Linked DNA regions of Arabidopsis thaliana. The protein of the gene in region 3 binds, or shares a complex with, the protein of the main gene of each other region. Each region holds a gene or a part of one and is shown on either strand. Other genes may lie near its edges. The genes, in order: AT5G19480, AT5G02850, AT1G15770 and AT3G09180.

Region 1 (4,551 bases), on a different chromosome or scaffold from region 3:
CGGTTGTCTTTTCTAAAGCTCGCGCAAACAGGAAGCAGAACAAAGCTGGTGTAAGACATTCTAGTTTGGGAAGCGAACAAGAACTCATGGTAAGTGTTCGTCGCAACCACCAACAACTTCACCATCGCCATGAAACTCAAGACGATGACCCTGTCATGGTAATTAAATTATCTCTCTCTACTTACTCTTCCATGGATTCTTTGGTTCATATTCACCTTGTGATGATCCTTTTCCCCTTAGTCAACGCGCATGGATCATCACAAGGTGGTATAACAATTCAGGAATTGATTTTCTCTTTGCGTCTTTTGTTTGTTTTGTGTTTTTGCATGCGCCTAAAAAGAATATTTCATTCCATTTCTTTCTTAACTCAGAGACATAATTGAACCATGAATGTTATTCAACTTAATTATGAGTTAATACATGCATCATAGTATCAGGTCTCATTTATGAATATGTAATGATAGTGTATCTTTAAATTTGATGTTATAGTGTATTGGCTTGCAGTTTGTTTCCATGGTTTTGAAATGATGTGTTTTGTTCGAACAATGAATTTATAGTTCGTTTCCATTTTCCCATTTTCTACTTTCTTTTTATTTGTTAGGAAAACTTTGTTTTTTTTTTTGCATTTTTTCCATAACATTTCAATAAGCAACCATATTTTAACATTATATTCCCACCTAAGCTAAATTTCATTACTTCTATTGTTAGATAAAAATATAATTAAACCAACTAAAAGTCTGAATCATATTATAATCTTTGCATTATGTTTTAACTATATGTTGGGAGTTACATAAATTTGTTTTGCTTGGAGCCTCCAAACTTTGAAGAGGCAAACATGAACGAAATGTACACTGCTTTTCTAGAGCGAATATGAAAACTCCATCTCTAGTTTGTATAACAGTCGAAATCACCTTGTTATACGAAGCATTATGCAATATGTGAAATGTATTAAGAGGAAGCATGTTGTCACCGTCATAAGTCTCTCTAACATTACTAATTTAATTACCATGCAGAAGAAGAAGAGGATCTTGACCTACATTAATTGTTGTATAAGGCCAAACTAGGGCTTTGTTCTTCTACAAAGTCGGAATCTTTCTCTCTTCAGCGATATAGCAAATATGTCTCAAGTGTGTAAAGACAGTAGTGTAACGTTTCTGTAATCTTCTTTATCACACACAAAAAAAAAAAACGTTCTGTTCTATGTGCATCATCTATTAAGATACCCCTGGTTGTGTTGTGTTGTGATACATTTTGACTTCTTCCTACATCATACGAGAACAAAATAAAACATGACTTAACCAAACCGTCAGATGCAGAATCCATTTAACTAATCTTCGATAAATTGAGAATTGTCGGATGATCATAGTTTTAGAAACAAGAGTTAAGAAATCATGCATTGATTGCTGGTACGATTTGGCCATTTGGGTGATTTTAGCTTTGGTTAATCATTCTCCAACTTCAATATAAAGGATCCGAACAATAGCAATGACTAAACGAATCACTTTTTGGCCTTAGCAAATTGGTCTTAATTATTTGGCCACAAATACACATACATATGACCATATGAAAAACAGTGGCTATCTTGCAACTGAGTGCCACCACCTAATCGTGGCCATATCCACTAACAAGTTGACCACCGTCTTAATCGGTGGCTATTGACGATTGCAACAAAAATTATTTGACGGCTATATTAGCATTTTTTTTTTTTTTTAACTATGTGATTAAAAATGCAAATTATAAGAAAATTGAAATTTTTATTAAAATAAAAATACAAATGTAAAAAAAGTCGTTGTGAAATCTGTAAAGTTGATCATACGCACTATGAAGCGCGTGAACCCCACGCGGTAACCCGTATAAATAACAAAATTTTGGACGAAAAAAAAACAGAAGAAGAAGAAAAAGAAATCGCGATTTTATAACGCCATTGTTTGAGGAAACTCCTAATCCATTCTCAAACCCTAGTTACTTCCTTCTCGAACGTTCCTCGATATTCCCGCGGGAAATTCACGACCAAGAGCAATCCGTTTTCCAGATTAGGGTTTATATCTCTGGGTTGCGATGAGATCTGCCTCGTGAAGTCATGTATGGCGGTGATTGATCTTTGCTTCAGCTTTGTTTTCGCTTTTCGTCAAATCTTGAGCTTATTGAGCTTTGGCTTGTTTGGTTTTCAAATTCCAATAATTGCAGTTTAATCAACAACAACAAAAAAATATGGAATCAGAGAGCGTTAAGTTTGGAGGTAAATTTGGTTTCCAAGCTTTGATTTTTGTCAAGTTTTATTATTTTGGGATTTGAGGGTCAATGAGCTTCTGGGTTTCTAAGTGCAGGTCCTAGAGAATTGGGTGGTGCACTAGATCTTATAACACAATACAAGTTGTTGCCACACCATGAATTCTTTTGCAAGAGATCACTTCCAGAGTCACTGTCAGATGCTCATTATCTTCATAATTTGGTTGGAGACACAGAGATTAGAAAAGGAGAAGGAATGCAATTAGATCAGCTTATTCCTAATGCATCACTTAGTAGCCGAGATACGAATGCTCGCATCCAACCTTTTGTTCTTGATGAACTTAAGGAGGCTTTTGAGCTTAATGATACAGCTCCTGTTGAATTGCCTCCAGTAAGAATATTGCTCTCTCTGTTTAGATTTTAACTTCCTGTAACATCTAGATCTTTTACTAACCATGATAAGTTGAATTACTTCCAAGTATCTTGTGATGATAGTTGAGCTAGGTTTGAGAATATGAGATCTCCTGTTCTTATTTCAGGCAGAGAAGGGAGCTCCTACCACTGTATCAAAATCAAAAAGTGAGTCAAAAGATAAGGATAGGAAACATAGAAAACATAAAGACAAGAAGGAGAAAGATAGGGAACATAAGAAGCACAAGCACAAGCATAAAGATAGGATCAAAGATAAGGATAAAGACAAGGATCGAGACAAAAAGAAGGAAAAAAGTGGACACCATGATAAGGTTATAAAACTGTCTGCTCTTGTTGGTACCTAGGCCGTCTATATATGTATATTTTGGATTCTTAAATTCGATAGAATTGACGTGGTATACGCTATCACTTTACTTTCAGAAAAGGAAGAACAATGGGACTGAAGATGCTGATGACGTTCAGAGGCACAAAAAGAGTAAGGTAATATACTAATGGCAATGGAGGCATCTCCTTCTTTTTAGTGAAGCTGAATTTAGAAGTTTCTGGTTACTCGCACATTGGTGTTGCTCTGCAAATTTTATTTTTGTCGGCCCTAAAATTAACTTTTTTGCAGCATAAGAGCTCAAAGCTTGATGAGATGGGAGCGATGTAGGTTGGAGGCTGAAGCCGTGCACACTTTCATTTTTGTATTGCACACCCAAGGTGTCATGGAGAGGCTTAGAAGCAGCTAACTTTGTTAGGTAACTCGGTCACTAGAGTCATCTTCTCATCTTTAGATAACGCACGTTTCTCATATGGGGCTGCGTCTGTCATAACCAACGGTACTGTACATGATGAATATGATTGAGTCAACAAAGCTATGGTTGTTTTAAACATGAAGAAATAATTATTGTCTAAGGCTTATAAGAAGATAACCTGGAACTCTAGCGACCGAGAGTGCACTAACTTTATTTTGGAGTCTCAAATAATTAGAAATGTTTCTATATGGTGTAGATTTGTCTCAACATAACATAAAATGATTTGGATTTGGTTTTGCAGGTTTAATCTCTAAATAAAAATTGCATTGTGGGAGAAGTTAGGAGGGGTTAAGCAACGAAAAGTTCGCCAAGAAGAATCACAACTTGTACATTTTGTTACACTTTAAACAAGCTATGAAGTTTATCTATTCTCGTGACTATTTAAACAGAAAGGTTTCATACATTCGAAATCATTTACTCTGAAATTTATCGAATCTGAAGGCATGTGACTTTTTGGGTGTATTCGTCTCTATGGAAATACCAAAAACAAAATTTAGATCTTTCAGGAAAGTGTTTTATCTCGAACAAAAGAGTAAATAATGAGAAGAACAAAAAAAGACATATGTAATATAACCAACGGAACAGAGAGAAGGGTCAGTGGCTGACAAAGTGTTTCAAGACTTCATGTATATGTAATGAATAGCAAAAGATCAAACTCTATCAGTAAAAGATACTAACGGAAAATCTCAAACTCTTAATCAACAAAACCCTTAGTGGGAAACTTTCCAATCCTTCACACTCTTCTCTCCTACCAAACGAATGACTAAGTAATGCTGCTTTTCATTTTAAAAAAGCGTTCCAAGATGTGACCTCATTTGCTTATCCTTCCTTTTCATTTTCTAGCAAAGGTCTCTCCTTTGTGCTCACTCCCGGCACAAACAACATACCCTGCTTCCACCTATAAAACCAATTGATGTTTTGATTATGGAATCTGTAAAAGCATTGATACGTAGGGGACACTGTATTATGAAAACTGAAGGGGGTAACGTACTTGGCAGTCTCTTAGAGTAACACGCTCTTGAAGCTGTGCGTTGCTGCAAATGACTGAGCCTTGTATTGAACATCCGTCTCCAATTGTGGCATGGTCCATCAC
Region 2 (3,870 bases), on a different chromosome or scaffold from region 3:
AGAGCTGATGGGTTGTCTGGAATTAGGGTTCTGGTGAAGGAAAACATCGTGGAGGAGAGGCTCTACAGGCGGAGGAGGTGGTGACGAAAGAGACGTAGTAAGAAAAGGCGTCCGAGAGATATGGTGGTTTTGGTCGTGAGAATAAGGTTTAGAGGAAGGAGTGCAGGGAAGGAGAAGAGGAAGAGCTAGCTTGTCCGCCATTAGAGGTAGTAGTAGTAGTAGAAACTAGAAAAGAACCAGGAGGCAACCGAGAGTGAAAGAAGAAGAGAAATGAATGGATATTTTTGTCAGATTTTTTTTATTATATTTTTTTGTTCCAAGAACACAATTTTAGTTTTATTTCCCTACAATTATATTCGACCACGTGGCTAGTCCAGATTCAACAGGTTAGATCTAAATGGGCTACTACTTATTTTGTCAACCCATTATATTATTAGAAGCCCAAATGGAACAATAAACTGTACAATAAAGAAATGGGCAGAAAGAGCCTCTGATATGTATGTATGACCTAAGAGGGATTTTACTTTGTCGTATAGAGAGATCGATCCAAAATGTCAAGTTGCATAACTCCAATAGTTGAACATTCTGAATTTTACTAATAATTTGAAATTTGAAGCTAAAGAATGATTCTGGAAAAAAGATAACCAATAATTCTGTAAACTGAATTAGAATCCAGGGTTTTCGTAAGAAACAACTTTGATACATCAAAGATACTGATAACGATGAAGCATATACTAACATCTATCCACATAAAGGCACTGCTAAACAAAACGAAACCAAGTAGAAAATCAAACTTGATCAAGAATTAGCAGTAACATTGGTCAAATCATTACCTTACAGAGAACCATCAATCACAATGTTGATTAATCCTCATCATCTGAGCTTGCATCATCGCTGCTGTAATCACTGCTATCATCATCCTCCAAAATGTCAAGTTGAACAGCTCGGACCTGTATGACATCAGGCGGTCTGTGGAGTCCCTGAGAAGGTCTCATATGTTGATGATCCTCTGCTCTAGGTGCAGCAATTGACTCCAGTGGCGGTAACACAACTGGGTCGCCTGGTTTCCATCCAGGAGGTGGCAATGGTAAATCTCTAGGCAATTCGACTGGCATTCCTGGTTTCCATCCTGAAGGAACTGCGATATTCGGCGGAAGCAGGTTGTGAATAGCAGATATATCCATAGCTTCTGGTGGTGGTGGTGGCTCAATCAGTGCTTCAACCTTCTTCTCCATGTTTTCTACTGTTTTCGGCAGACCGATATCAAGATCAGCGAAAGTGTAGAGCTGGGAAGCTCTCATTTGTTCGTCTTGTGGAGCTGGTGGTAATGCACCACGGAGAGGTGCTTGCCCTGCACCGAATTCCGGCGGAGCAAATGTGGTGTAGCTAATCTTGTGAGCGTAAGCTAATATGTCCTTTAACTTGAGCTGAGACGAAACTGTGGTTGAAGAAGAAGAAGACTCATTATCATTGTCTTCGTCATCTTCTTCAATTTTGCTTCGTTTTGGTTTGCGGTAATCGGAGTAGTCGTCAACAAGCATATCGAGAACACGTTCTGCATCCTTGAGTTTGTTAGCGAAAGCGAGAAGAGATGAATCTTTGGATTTGATCTCACGCGCCACCTTCTGCTTCGCGTCTTGCAGATCGAGGATCTCTTGAAGCTCTGTAACGGCTTCGAAGAGCTGAGTCTGGAGGGAATTGAATTGAGAGAGGATCTCCTTCGTGGATGAAGGACTAGGGTTTTCAAGCGGCGGCGGAGGTGGTAACGAGTGTGAGGAGAGGAACGAAGGGAGAGAGCCACGGAAAGCTGAGAGCCAGATAGCTCGATTGGGAGAGACGTCGAAGAGCTTAGATGTCAAAACCGCCATCTGCTGGAGAAGAGCTTGAGCTCGCGGTAATGGAGGAAGGAGCGATAGCAAGGCGGAGGATGAAACAGCCGCCGAAGCTGAGGCTGAGGAAGCGGCGGCGACGGTGGAGGAAGGAAGTAGATTAGGCTGTTGTTGGATCTGTTGGTGCTGAGATTGGGAAGATGAAGAAGAGGTTGGATGGCCATGACGAGTAGGCGTCGGATTTTGTACGGAAGGAGAGCCAGGACCTGTTAACCCTAATCTCGCCGGAGATTGTACGATCTGATGCTGTAGCATCTTCGCCGACGGCGAAAGAATCTCTTAAATCGAAGATAATTAAAGAGACGAAGCTTCTCTTCTCTGTTTAGTGTTCAACTGTTTATACAAAATTCGCAAACCCTCAGTATCAATTAGAAAAGTCTAAAGACCCGCTAAAACCATACCGATACGGTTCAATTTCCTAATTACCATTAACCTGGCTTTCGAACAATTGTTATTGACAATAACAGAGACGAATCATGGACGTTAACGCTTGATACAAGTGCAATACAACAGAGTTATGTATCTCACTTCCGAGTTAAGTAACAATTTGCTACTGTGTTACATAGCTTTTGGTTAAACAGATAACCAGAAAATAACCAATCAGAGAACGAGGTAAAGAAACTTACATATTACAAAAGGCATGAAAAAATAATTATCAAAAAGAAGATACAATTGGTAACCATTTTCTACACACACATACATATATCTACCATTCACACGACTGGTTCTGACCGAAACTGCATATGTTCCTCTTGTTTGTGACGACGACTCAGTTATGTTCTCCTCAGACAACAACCGTAGAATGCATCTGACACAATCCACCATATACAGAGATCAATAGCAATTTGGTAGACCGTAAGAGCAATATTCTTAAGACCTTAAGGGTAGTGTAATCAGAATAATAGCAGCAACGCTGAGAATATAACAGTTATGATCTACAGATCATTCTTATTATGACGTTCGATCATGTGAGACAATAACTACAGTAACAAATGAGAAACATTAAGGTGAAAACCTTAGTGAACTGTGGTGTTAGGTTTCGATATAATCTATTAAGTCAATGCGAACGTTCTTATTATAGTGTTTTATATTGGTGTCGGAGGGATGCGGTATAACACCAAACTTACTTGATAGCTGGTAGAGAGTTGTTGCGAGCAAGAAGTCGTCAAGAAGATATATAACTTGTTGAGTGCACAAACAGCTAAGAGCTTAAGTGTTCATGACCTTCCTCTGCAGCATCAACATATTCAGACTAAATTATGGTTAGATTATATCTCATAGAGCACAACAATCCTCATTTAATCATTGGAACGGTTAAAAACATAACACACTAAAGGCGAACTAGTCTTAATTTCTATAGTTAAACTTCAAGGCAGATAGTAAGTAGGTTTGTTAGCTGTTAGAGACTTTTTCTCACTCATTCTTATCACGAAAAGACAAATGTGCCTCACATACTCAACGAGCACAGAAGTAATGATAAAATTATAACTTACAGTAGGTTCAAAGTCAGGGTTTGACAAGTTCACTGTGAGGTTTCTCATCAACAGCAAAACCTGCAAGAAAAACTGTGATTAGTGACGGATACTAGGAAAAAGAACAATCACTGACAGCTACAAATAGGTACCATGACACCTAAAACTGACTCATGGTTGTAACAATCCCATTATTTGACCAACATCTCCATAGAATCATGGTACTTTGGCTTTTTGGTGTTTCCAACTCGTGAATCTATATATTGCAAGTACTGATCTTTATATTTATCTTCTCACACAGCTGAATTTATTCGGGAACTCAAAGAAGAAGACTAAATGATTGATATGCTGCAACACACATATCAGTTAATCTAAAGGCAAGTAAAGCTCCAACTCACAGTTTCGAAATTTATAGGATCCATTTCCTTGAGCTTTTTCATGCGGCCTTTGCTGTCAGGATCGAACACACTCCCAATGAAGTTATAAACCTCAGCAAAATCAGGAAGACC
Region 3 (3,769 bases):
GAGAGGTTGTTGTTGACCAATGGGACTCCTTGTAGAATCGATAGCTTCTCAAGTCCCATGGTTTTCGATTACAGTTTCAAGGATGAGAAACTTTACGCTCAAGATACTTATTTTGAAGATATCAAATGGGATTCAATGTTTCAGAATCTCAAACCTACTTAGAAAAATCTCTAAGTTCTGTTTTATGTTTTCTCTTTCAGCTTCTTCTTCGTTCTTTATATCAGAATTGATGGTGAGAGATGAGGTTTTAGGGTTCTTCCACCATGTTTTCTTGATTTTGTCTTTGTATGTGATTAGGCTAGTTAATTTTTGTTAGTTAACAATTGGAAAATAGAGTTGAGTGGTGGTGTCAGGTGTGTATGTGAGTGTGTGGGGTCATTGTAATGAGTCTGTCTCTCCAGTCTTTGCTTTTGGCCTAAGTCTCTGTTCCAGTCAAAACTTCTTTACAGCTTTTATCACTTTTTACTCTTTTCTCAAAAAATGCTCTGTTTACACACATAACCATGACGCTAAGCCTGCCGGAGTGATCTTACTCTTGAGGTAATCGGAAAGATCTTGAGCTCAGGACACTACACAGTCTACACTAGAGCACACAAAACATTGTGCTTCCAAATTTTATCTGTTGTGTGTGTGTCAATTTTCAGATATACCTAAGGGAAGTGTAACTGAAAACCATACCTCAGTTCTTGGCTTCTTGCCACCACAAGTCACAGTAGATTCCATATCTGATGTTACCAAACCAGCAAAATGCTTGTAGCTATTACCAACGCTTTCCTCCCAATGAAGCAACACTTGATGGCATTGGGGTTGTCTGACGCTTCCTTTTCATGGTCGCCATCTTGCGTCATGAAGTTTCTTTCTTGGAGATGGCACTTAGTCATTGCAACCAAGTCCACACCAAATGAAGCTCTTGAACCTTTGCCTGGTACTGAACCAGCAATCCTATCAACCATGCTTACAACAGATCTAATATCACATACTGCAGACGAAAGCGCTTGTGGTGAGATGGATTTCATCTGAAAACAACAGAAAGCAAACATCAAGATCAGAACAATGTTTCCACGGCAAATGAGGGATGGCAGCAATGACACTGCCCTGTTGCAATATACCCTTCAAAATTAGTAACGTTACTTACGGCTCTAATAAGGCGTTCAATAGGCAGCTCAGTAGCACTCGATTTTCCACAAGTACTTGTCAAAGGATTTATAATATTTCCATCAGGACTGGTAAGCTCCGGAAGGAGAGGAGAGGCAGAGATCCCTGGAGTGCCAATTTCAAGGGATTGAAGTACACCTTGCCTGATCTGTTGTACCCTTGACCCAGCACCCTGCATGCTCATTGATTGCATCTGCAGAGTTGTTTGGTCATCATGAGACTGATCTTGAACTGTCTGAGATAGTGGTTGCTGCATAGGCTGAATCTCAGATTTCGTAAGCTGCAGTTTCTGTACTGTCTTCCTCAGACTCTGCATATTTAAGAAATTCATAATGTTGTTCTTGCGATAATCCATACTATCCTTCAAGTCAGGTTTGATATTGCTCTTTGAAAGAGATAGGAAACGTAGCATTCCCTCCAACACTGTCTTGCCTCGTTTCAATTTCTCAAACTGATCTGATCTTTGTTTCTGATGCGAAAGAGAATCCTCCTAGAGAGAAAACGGAACGTATTCAGTAGAAAAGAAACAAACATATAGATGAACGTTAAAAGTTTACAACCTCTGTAGGTTTGGGAAGGAATATATCTGTCAGAAGGTTAACTTCTAGTGAACTATCTGTAAGTATAAGAGTCTGACGAACCTTTTACTTTGTTAAATGGGTAACAAGAATCCTAAGTTGTAGGACTTTCATTTGTAACAATGAACTGATCTTGCATTGAATTTGTAAAACTCTTCATAAAGTACTTAGTACTGTTCCAGAGGACGTACACGTGCAAACTAACTTCCTAGGAAGAATGAAAACTGTAACTTACTTGCTGCAACTTGGCTGCTACTCTCTGGTAGATTTCATTGAGGTCTCTTTGATGGATTTGATCTACAAAGAAAAGCAATATAATCATACATACGATTACTCATCATGGTGATATCATCTAGTAACAGAGAGATGATCCTGCTAGTAACAAAGGAATAATCTGGTTGTCGTAGTAATCTTTCAAGTAAGGCATGACATTGCTTCTTTGAAACAGATAGGAATTGTATCATTCTTCGCTCCAACATTGCCTTCAATCTCTCAAATTGCTTTAATCTCTGTTGATGGGTAAAAGAATTCTGCATGAATTCAATAAGAAACCAAACCCTACCCTACTAGTTGACGGAACACTAAAGCACCCACCAAAAACACACCTAATCTCCGAGAAATTAACATTTACAAAAAAAAAAAGGGTCTTTATTCATTTTTCGATCATAACTTGATAGGAGGAGCCTGGTAGAAACAGAGCACCGGAGTCAACAACATTGAGGATGAGAGTTCAAAACACATCAGAAGAGAGAAGACCAACATAAAAAGAGAGAGAGACAAAATATCTACAATGCATTTCCTTGATTATTATGAGACTGATCTTGAAGCTGCCTTTGCTGTACTGTCTTCCCAGCCGGTTCTTAGCGTAATTAAGAAATATATAATCCGTTTCTCATAATAGTCCCATCTACAATCCTTTAATATCGGCATGATATTTCTCTTTCGAAGAGATAGGACTTGGATCAATTGCTCTATGTTTGTCTTCATGCTTTGGAACTTGTCAAAGTGCTTTGATCTTTGTTGCTGCGGAAGCGATTCCTCCTGAAAAAAACAAACAAACTAGTATTACTACATCTATACAACTTAAGGCAGAGAGTTAATAGTTGACAGTAACTACATCTTACATGGTTCAACTTGTCTGCAAGTCTCTGGTAAACATCAGTCACATGTGGTAGATAACGCTCTCTCATGGATCTAAGCTGTATAAACAATTACACACCACAATGAATGATCCCGATGATGATTTAAGAAAGGAGTTTTATTATTATGATGATTATGACTTATGAGTTACCTTTTGGAAAACCTCCTCCCGCCAATCATCTCCATTTTCATTTTCCATTGTATCTACTATCTAGTGTTGCTAGCCAAGAAAAATAATTAAAAAGCGAGATTCATTCATCATCAGAAACTGTGTAAAAAAAAATACAAAAACCTAAAATTAGAGGTACACAAGTATCATCAATCCATAAAACTAGTTTCTTATGCAAAAGGTTTTGCTATCGACGAATCCATGGGTTTACTATGACACGTAATGAGATAGGTGACTCAAAATAAGGACCTTTTGGCGATGAATCTCCGAGACTTAGAACGGTCCGTTTGGATTTGGTTTTTCTCCAAACGTTCTTACGTTTCAATCTTTCTTTTAATAAGTGAAACGTAGCAATTAGGGTTAAGGAGAAGAATTAGAGATGATTGTTTTTGTTTTAATCATCTTTTGATTTTATAGAGAAACAAACAAGAGAGAGCTAAATACAAGGATTAAAAGGCTTCAACAACATTACAATATCAGGTTATTAAGCGAGGCCCAATGACCCAATAATAAGTACTTATCAGGCCCAAGTCTCTTCTGCAAATAATAAGTTTTTTGGAGTTTTTTTAAGTTTTCTATTTCACACAGTAAAGGCTAAAAATCGAGTAAAGAGACTTGTAGAAAAACCAGTGAAATCTCCGGCTATTTGTGTGACCAAAATGTTAATTATAGTCATTAACTAAATAAATCTCGTTCATGTACTAATTTGTATAGACAATTACACACC
Region 4 (4,651 bases), on a different chromosome or scaffold from region 3:
ATTCATGGAGCTTTGAAATATGGCATCTTGATCCGATATGGGTGCAACCAGCGCCATTAGGACCAAATGAAGGTTTGAAGCCGGACGTTTCCACGGAAATGGAAGAGGGCCGAGAAAATAGTGAGTGTATATGGAGAATGCTTGGTGCTCTGGTCTTGGCTGCAGTATGTGGAGCCGTAGGGGCAATGTCAGCTATGTATCTTTGGACTATTTGCAGTGTTAGGCGGTCAATGGCCGTGGTTCCAGAGGAATGTGCAGTGAGCATTGTGGTCGTTGCAGTTAAAGATGGCAAGAAGTAATGAGAAGTTTGTTTGGCTTTGGCTTTGGTTTAAGAAGGTTGTCTTGTTGTAGTGTAAATGTAGTACCTTCTTCCACTTCCTCTGGTGTTATCTTTATTTAGTGTTTTCTTTTATTTGCTTCGTTAGTTGCAGGTTTCACATGTACAATCTCTATGAAAGAAGCCGTAAGCTTATTTGATCTTGCAAAATAACTTAATTTATTGATCTTGCATTTAACATGTTTTATATTTCTGGATCGGAAGCAAAAATCAACACCCACTGTCTTTTTCTCACTTTGATGCTGACTGCAACAGAGTAATGTGAACCGAGTTAAAAAAAAAGGTCTCTGTTCAGTCATCTCGTGAACAAAGATCAAATCTCTAGAAAGAAGACAACATTCACATGTTACCAGAGAGTAGAAAGAAAGAAAGTTAATCTAAACCTCAACATGGGACATCAACAACAAACAAGAGGTATATCAAGGAGAAGAGCAGATACTAAAGATCCATACAAAATGTTATTAGAACTTATTTCTAACCTTTCTTTTAATTGATCCTCCCTAATCACTAGAGTACTAGGTATCATCTTGAGAGCAACTGGAGTGGTAAGCTTCACAAACGTCCAGGTTTAATGCAAGAGGCAATTCTTGGTAAGCGCGGTGTAAAGGAGGTAAGATTAACGCAGACTTTTTATCCATTGCTAATAGCCTTCCACATTTACTGCATCATCAGAAGAGAAATGAAAAGTTAGTCCACGGGAAACAAATGTATTAGAAGAATTACGGAGAGTCTGCATACGTGCAAGGTTTGCTAAATACGGATTCAAAACTGCATATCCATAGCTGCATAAGAAGAAGAGAAAGGTGTTAATTAACTTCCAGACAAAAAAGGTTCATGTTATCCAGAGACTGAAGTGTGCTTGTAAAATGCTTTACCAGAAGAGAGTAGAGAGCTGTTCCAGTACCAAAGCCGAGGAAATATTGCAAGGCTGTAGCAGCATGTTCCTGCAAGAAAAATCTAATTAATGCAAGTCCCCAATGAATCAAATTTGTTAAACTATATATAATATCAATCGCATCTTTATTACCGTTATGTGTTTGTAAACATGATAAACCGAGAAGCCTCTCGCATGTAAGTAGCTGCCTCCCTGTAAGAAAGGGATGAAGCTAAAACATGAGAACTTAAACAATTTCACATGAGAATCAGTATATTTTAATGCAAGGAGGTTGGAAGTGACCTCATCTGGGGAGAAGAAAGCAACTGCATCTGGATCAACAGAACCCGCTGGACTCAACGAGACTATAGCTCTGAATAGAGAAGGAAATGATAACTCAATAACAGCAATCTTGTCGACAACTTCAGTCTGTAACCCTGATCTCAGCTTGCTAGAACTCTGGAAAATAGGTTTCGATGCTTCTGTAGGATCATCACTACCTGACCCAGGTAAAGAGTTAGCTCTTTTAAGCCAGTTCAATCGTCCATAAGTAGACACCTTCACACTCGGAACCAGCTTCTCTAAACGCGATTGTATATCTGGCAATGTTTTGTAATCAACCGGCTCCTCTCTTCCATTTTCTAATAGCAAATGGGAGGCACGATGTTTTTTTGAGCTTGGTTCCATCTTTAATCCATCATCAATATGAGGGAAGAATCGTCTTTTCTGATCCGTGAAGGCCTTGAGAGCTAACCTACAGTCATTATACACAACGCGAGAAAATGGAGAATGCATGAGATTCAGTAGAATTGGTTAGCTGATGAAACTCCAAGTTGGTACCACCAAGCTTCACTAACAGCCCTAATATGCAGACTCGAACCTAAACCCTAAGTATGCTTTAAAATGATTAGCAACGAATCTGATACCTGGTTCTATCAACAGCAGAAGCACCAGCTTGGCCAGCAAGCTGTCTTTTCCAAGCATAAGCAACGACTGCACCATCTGGACAAACCAAAGGCATGTGAAGACCCCAAGAGTTACTTCTTGACCTAAGTGATTCAGTTAACACTCCAGATTCTTCCAATTTCTTCCCTGAACCAAGCAATAAACATTGATCGATCCTTAAAAGCCCTAATCTAGAGAATCAATCAATACTAATGAAAATGATTCAGTTTTGGTTCAGCACCTATTAAGCGAAGATCCTGAAGATGTTGACGCATGGAGGCGTCTTCTCTGAGAAAGAGCTGAAGAGGCATGTCTGTGTGACGAGGTTGCGAAGCCACGAACATAGCTTCAAGGATACGGTCAGCGCCGAGGCGGATATCGGCGATAACCCTAGCCGCTTGATTGAGTCGTTCCATGGCCTGAGCCACCTGTTTCGGCGGCGCGTCCGATTCAGACTGATTGTTCGCCGCCTCGGCCGGATTCTGGAGAAGTTGGGACTGGTGTAGCGTCTGCATAAGCTGTGATTCAAGCACACTCTTTCGATTTCAATGAAATTGATCTTCTTGACGACGACGGAAGGAGAGGAATGTTTCTGGACTCGGAGAATTTCACGTTCAAATCTCAATCTACTGTAACGCCAGACGCAATTTTGTAGCGTTTGCGTTTCAAAGGCGTTTTTGTTGATATGCTTGCTTCTGCTCCTTCACGTCTTATTTTGTTTAATTTATTCCACTCTGTTAAATTGAGTTTTACTCCATTAAGCAATGCTTTATGGCTCATGTTGGACTGAAAATGTATTTTGTAATCTCAATGTTTGTGGGACTTTTAGTTTTTAGCCCATATGTACAGTTTGTTCACTTTAATATTTTTTTTTTTTTAGTTTGTACATGTAAAAAAATGGGAAATTTGCAAATATAGCCAACAAAAAAATTATAATTGCAAAACTAACACTTCAACCAATATGTATTGAACTTTATGCAATATTGACAAACTTAACCCGTGCGTGAGCACACGCGCTTATTCTTCTTCTTCTGAGTTTTCAATCGATAACTTCTATGTATTACTCTGTAAAAATTCAAATAGAGGTGAACATTCAGAGAAGTTACAGTAAGAAAATCTGAAAATTCTGGGCTTTAAAAAGCGACACCCGGGAAAGTTTCGAAGAGCAGACTGCGTGTGCAATCCGAGTGACGATTCTAGAGTTTACGAAGATTGAATTTGTGGGTTTCGATTTGGGGACTGTGGAGGCTTCGATTTCTGGCAATCGGACTGCATAAATCTTCTGCAATTGGAGGAGGAGCCTATCTAAGCATCCGAGTTTCGTACAACACTTATGTTGGCTCTTTTCTCAATCGAGGGTTTTTGATTCCGTTGAGAGTACTTGAGTGAGTTTTGTTGTACGGGAGTAGAGGTGTTTATATCTCCGTCGTCTCCACTGTAACACTCGAATTTCTGTGGCAATTGGTGTCGGCGAAGGGATTCAGCCAAATTAAGGTATGAAATGCCATTTTTTGGCTTTTGGGAAAATCTTTTTAATTTGTGTTGAAGAGCTTGAATAGCATAAACTCGGATTTGAGTAGCTTTAGGTAGGGAATCTGCTTGGTTAATACGATATTCATTTGTAATTGTTATGAAGGTTTAGGATTTAACTCTACTTCAATGTAATCCATTTGTGTTTGTTGATAGTAACGGAAGCTACTCAAATTGGTTGTATGTGTTAATGACATTTTTAGTTTTATTTGCAGTATTGAATAGCATAAACTCGGATTTGAGTAGCTTTAGTTAGTGAATCTTTGCTGGTTAATCCGATATTCCACTAATTGGTGTTATGAAGGTTTAATATTTAACTCAACTTCTATGTAATCCATTTGTTGTTGTTGATAGTAACGGAAAGCTGAGGCTATATTGGTTGAGTCTGTTAATAACATATATTTACATCTAAGATTTATATATTTTGTATTTGTGTAAGTAGCAGCATCAAAAAAGTGATACGTGGACATTTGTATTTCAGTGTATCTGTTCCATGGGGGATGTAGAGTTGCCAAAGCGTTTGTTTCGGCTAGGTTCTGAACCTGAGGGCCGAAAGAGGATAAACAATTACTTTACTCTTAGGTGGATTGAGATCATCAAGGCTGCTCTAGATCAAAACCATTTGAAGCAGCTGGAGGGTTCGCAGTTTGGATTTCTGTTGCAAATGGGGACGCATCAGTTTTCTGTAATGTTCTTACATTACATTCTATCTAGGCAGTTGGTGACAGATAAGAAGTATGAAATGTGGTGGGTGTTTGCAGGGAAGCCAATTCGATTTGCCATTGATGATTTTGCACTTGTTACCGGGCTTAACTGCAGCAAATCTGGATTCAACAAAAAGGATGCAAGGACAAGAGGGAAAATGAAAGCGGTTCAGAATCCTACGAGGTTCTACAAGGCATTATTTGGGAAAGAGAGAAAGCCTACTTCACAATGGATTGTTGGGAAGCTATCTATGGGGAAGA

The links.
Region 1: AT1G15770 (region 3) and AT5G19480 share a complex: the UniProt entries of both Arabidopsis thaliana proteins name them as parts of the mediator complex.
Region 2: AT1G15770 (region 3) and AT5G02850 share a complex: the UniProt entries of both Arabidopsis thaliana proteins name them as parts of the mediator complex.
Region 4: AT1G15770 (region 3) and AT3G09180 share a complex: the UniProt entries of both Arabidopsis thaliana proteins name them as parts of the mediator complex.

The regions. Positions count from the first base shown.
Region 1 is NC_003076.8:6,569,617-6,574,167, forward strand, and holds AT5G19480 (mediator of RNA polymerase II transcription subunit), read left to right. Parts: upstream 1-1,884; 5' UTR 1,885-2,211; coding exon 2,212-2,239; intron 2,240-2,327; coding exon 2,328-2,620; intron 2,621-2,768; coding exon 2,769-2,972; intron 2,973-3,081; coding exon 3,082-3,141; intron 3,142-3,274; coding exon 3,275-3,313; 3' UTR 3,314-4,007; downstream 4,008-4,551. Other genes in the region: AT5G19473 (RPM1-interacting protein 4 (RIN4) family protein), read left to right, coding at 1-158, 1,014-1,064; AT5G19485 (transferases/nucleotidyltransferase), read right to left, coding at 4,291-4,356, 4,450-4,551. UniProt on the Arabidopsis thaliana protein: Component of the Mediator complex, a coactivator involved in the regulated transcription of nearly all RNA polymerase II-dependent genes.
Region 2 is NC_003076.8:650,433-654,302, reverse strand, and holds AT5G02850 (hydroxyproline-rich glycoprotein family protein), read right to left. Parts: upstream 2,256-3,870; 5' UTR 2,145-2,255; coding exon 864-2,144; 3' UTR 540-863; downstream 1-539. Other genes in the region: AT5G02860 (Pentatricopeptide repeat (PPR) superfamily protein), read right to left, coding at 1-201; LCL1 (LHY/CCA1-like 1), read right to left, coding at 3,091-3,141, 3,383-3,442, 3,760-3,869. UniProt on the Arabidopsis thaliana protein: Component of the Mediator complex, a coactivator involved in the regulated transcription of nearly all RNA polymerase II-dependent genes.
Region 3 is NC_003070.9:5,426,161-5,429,929, forward strand, and holds AT1G15770 (mediator of RNA polymerase II transcription subunit), read right to left. Parts: upstream 2,121-3,769; 5' UTR 2,056-2,120; coding exon 1,969-2,055; intron 1,646-1,968; coding exon 1,136-1,645; intron 1,017-1,135; coding exon 732-1,016; 3' UTR 548-731; downstream 1-547. Other genes in the region: AT1G15760 (Sterile alpha motif (SAM) domain-containing protein), read left to right, coding at 1-162; AT1G15772 (mediator of RNA polymerase II transcription subunit), read right to left, coding at 2,541-2,774, 2,858-2,932, 3,025-3,072. UniProt on the Arabidopsis thaliana protein: Component of the Mediator complex, a coactivator involved in the regulated transcription of nearly all RNA polymerase II-dependent genes.
Region 4 is NC_003074.8:2,817,298-2,821,948, reverse strand, and holds AT3G09180 (mediator of RNA polymerase II transcription subunit), read right to left. Parts: upstream 2,856-4,651; 5' UTR 2,672-2,855; coding exon 2,398-2,671; intron 2,304-2,397; coding exon 2,138-2,303; intron 1,966-2,137; coding exon 1,515-1,965; intron 1,425-1,514; coding exon 1,365-1,424; intron 1,282-1,364; coding exon 1,213-1,281; intron 1,120-1,212; coding exon 1,076-1,119; coding exon of another isoform or gene 1,057-1,075; exon of another isoform or gene 998-1,056; coding exon 853-997; 3' UTR 524-852; downstream 1-523. Other genes in the region: AT3G09190 (Concanavalin A-like lectin family protein), read left to right, coding at 1-299. UniProt on the Arabidopsis thaliana protein: Component of the Mediator complex, a coactivator involved in the regulated transcription of nearly all RNA polymerase II-dependent genes.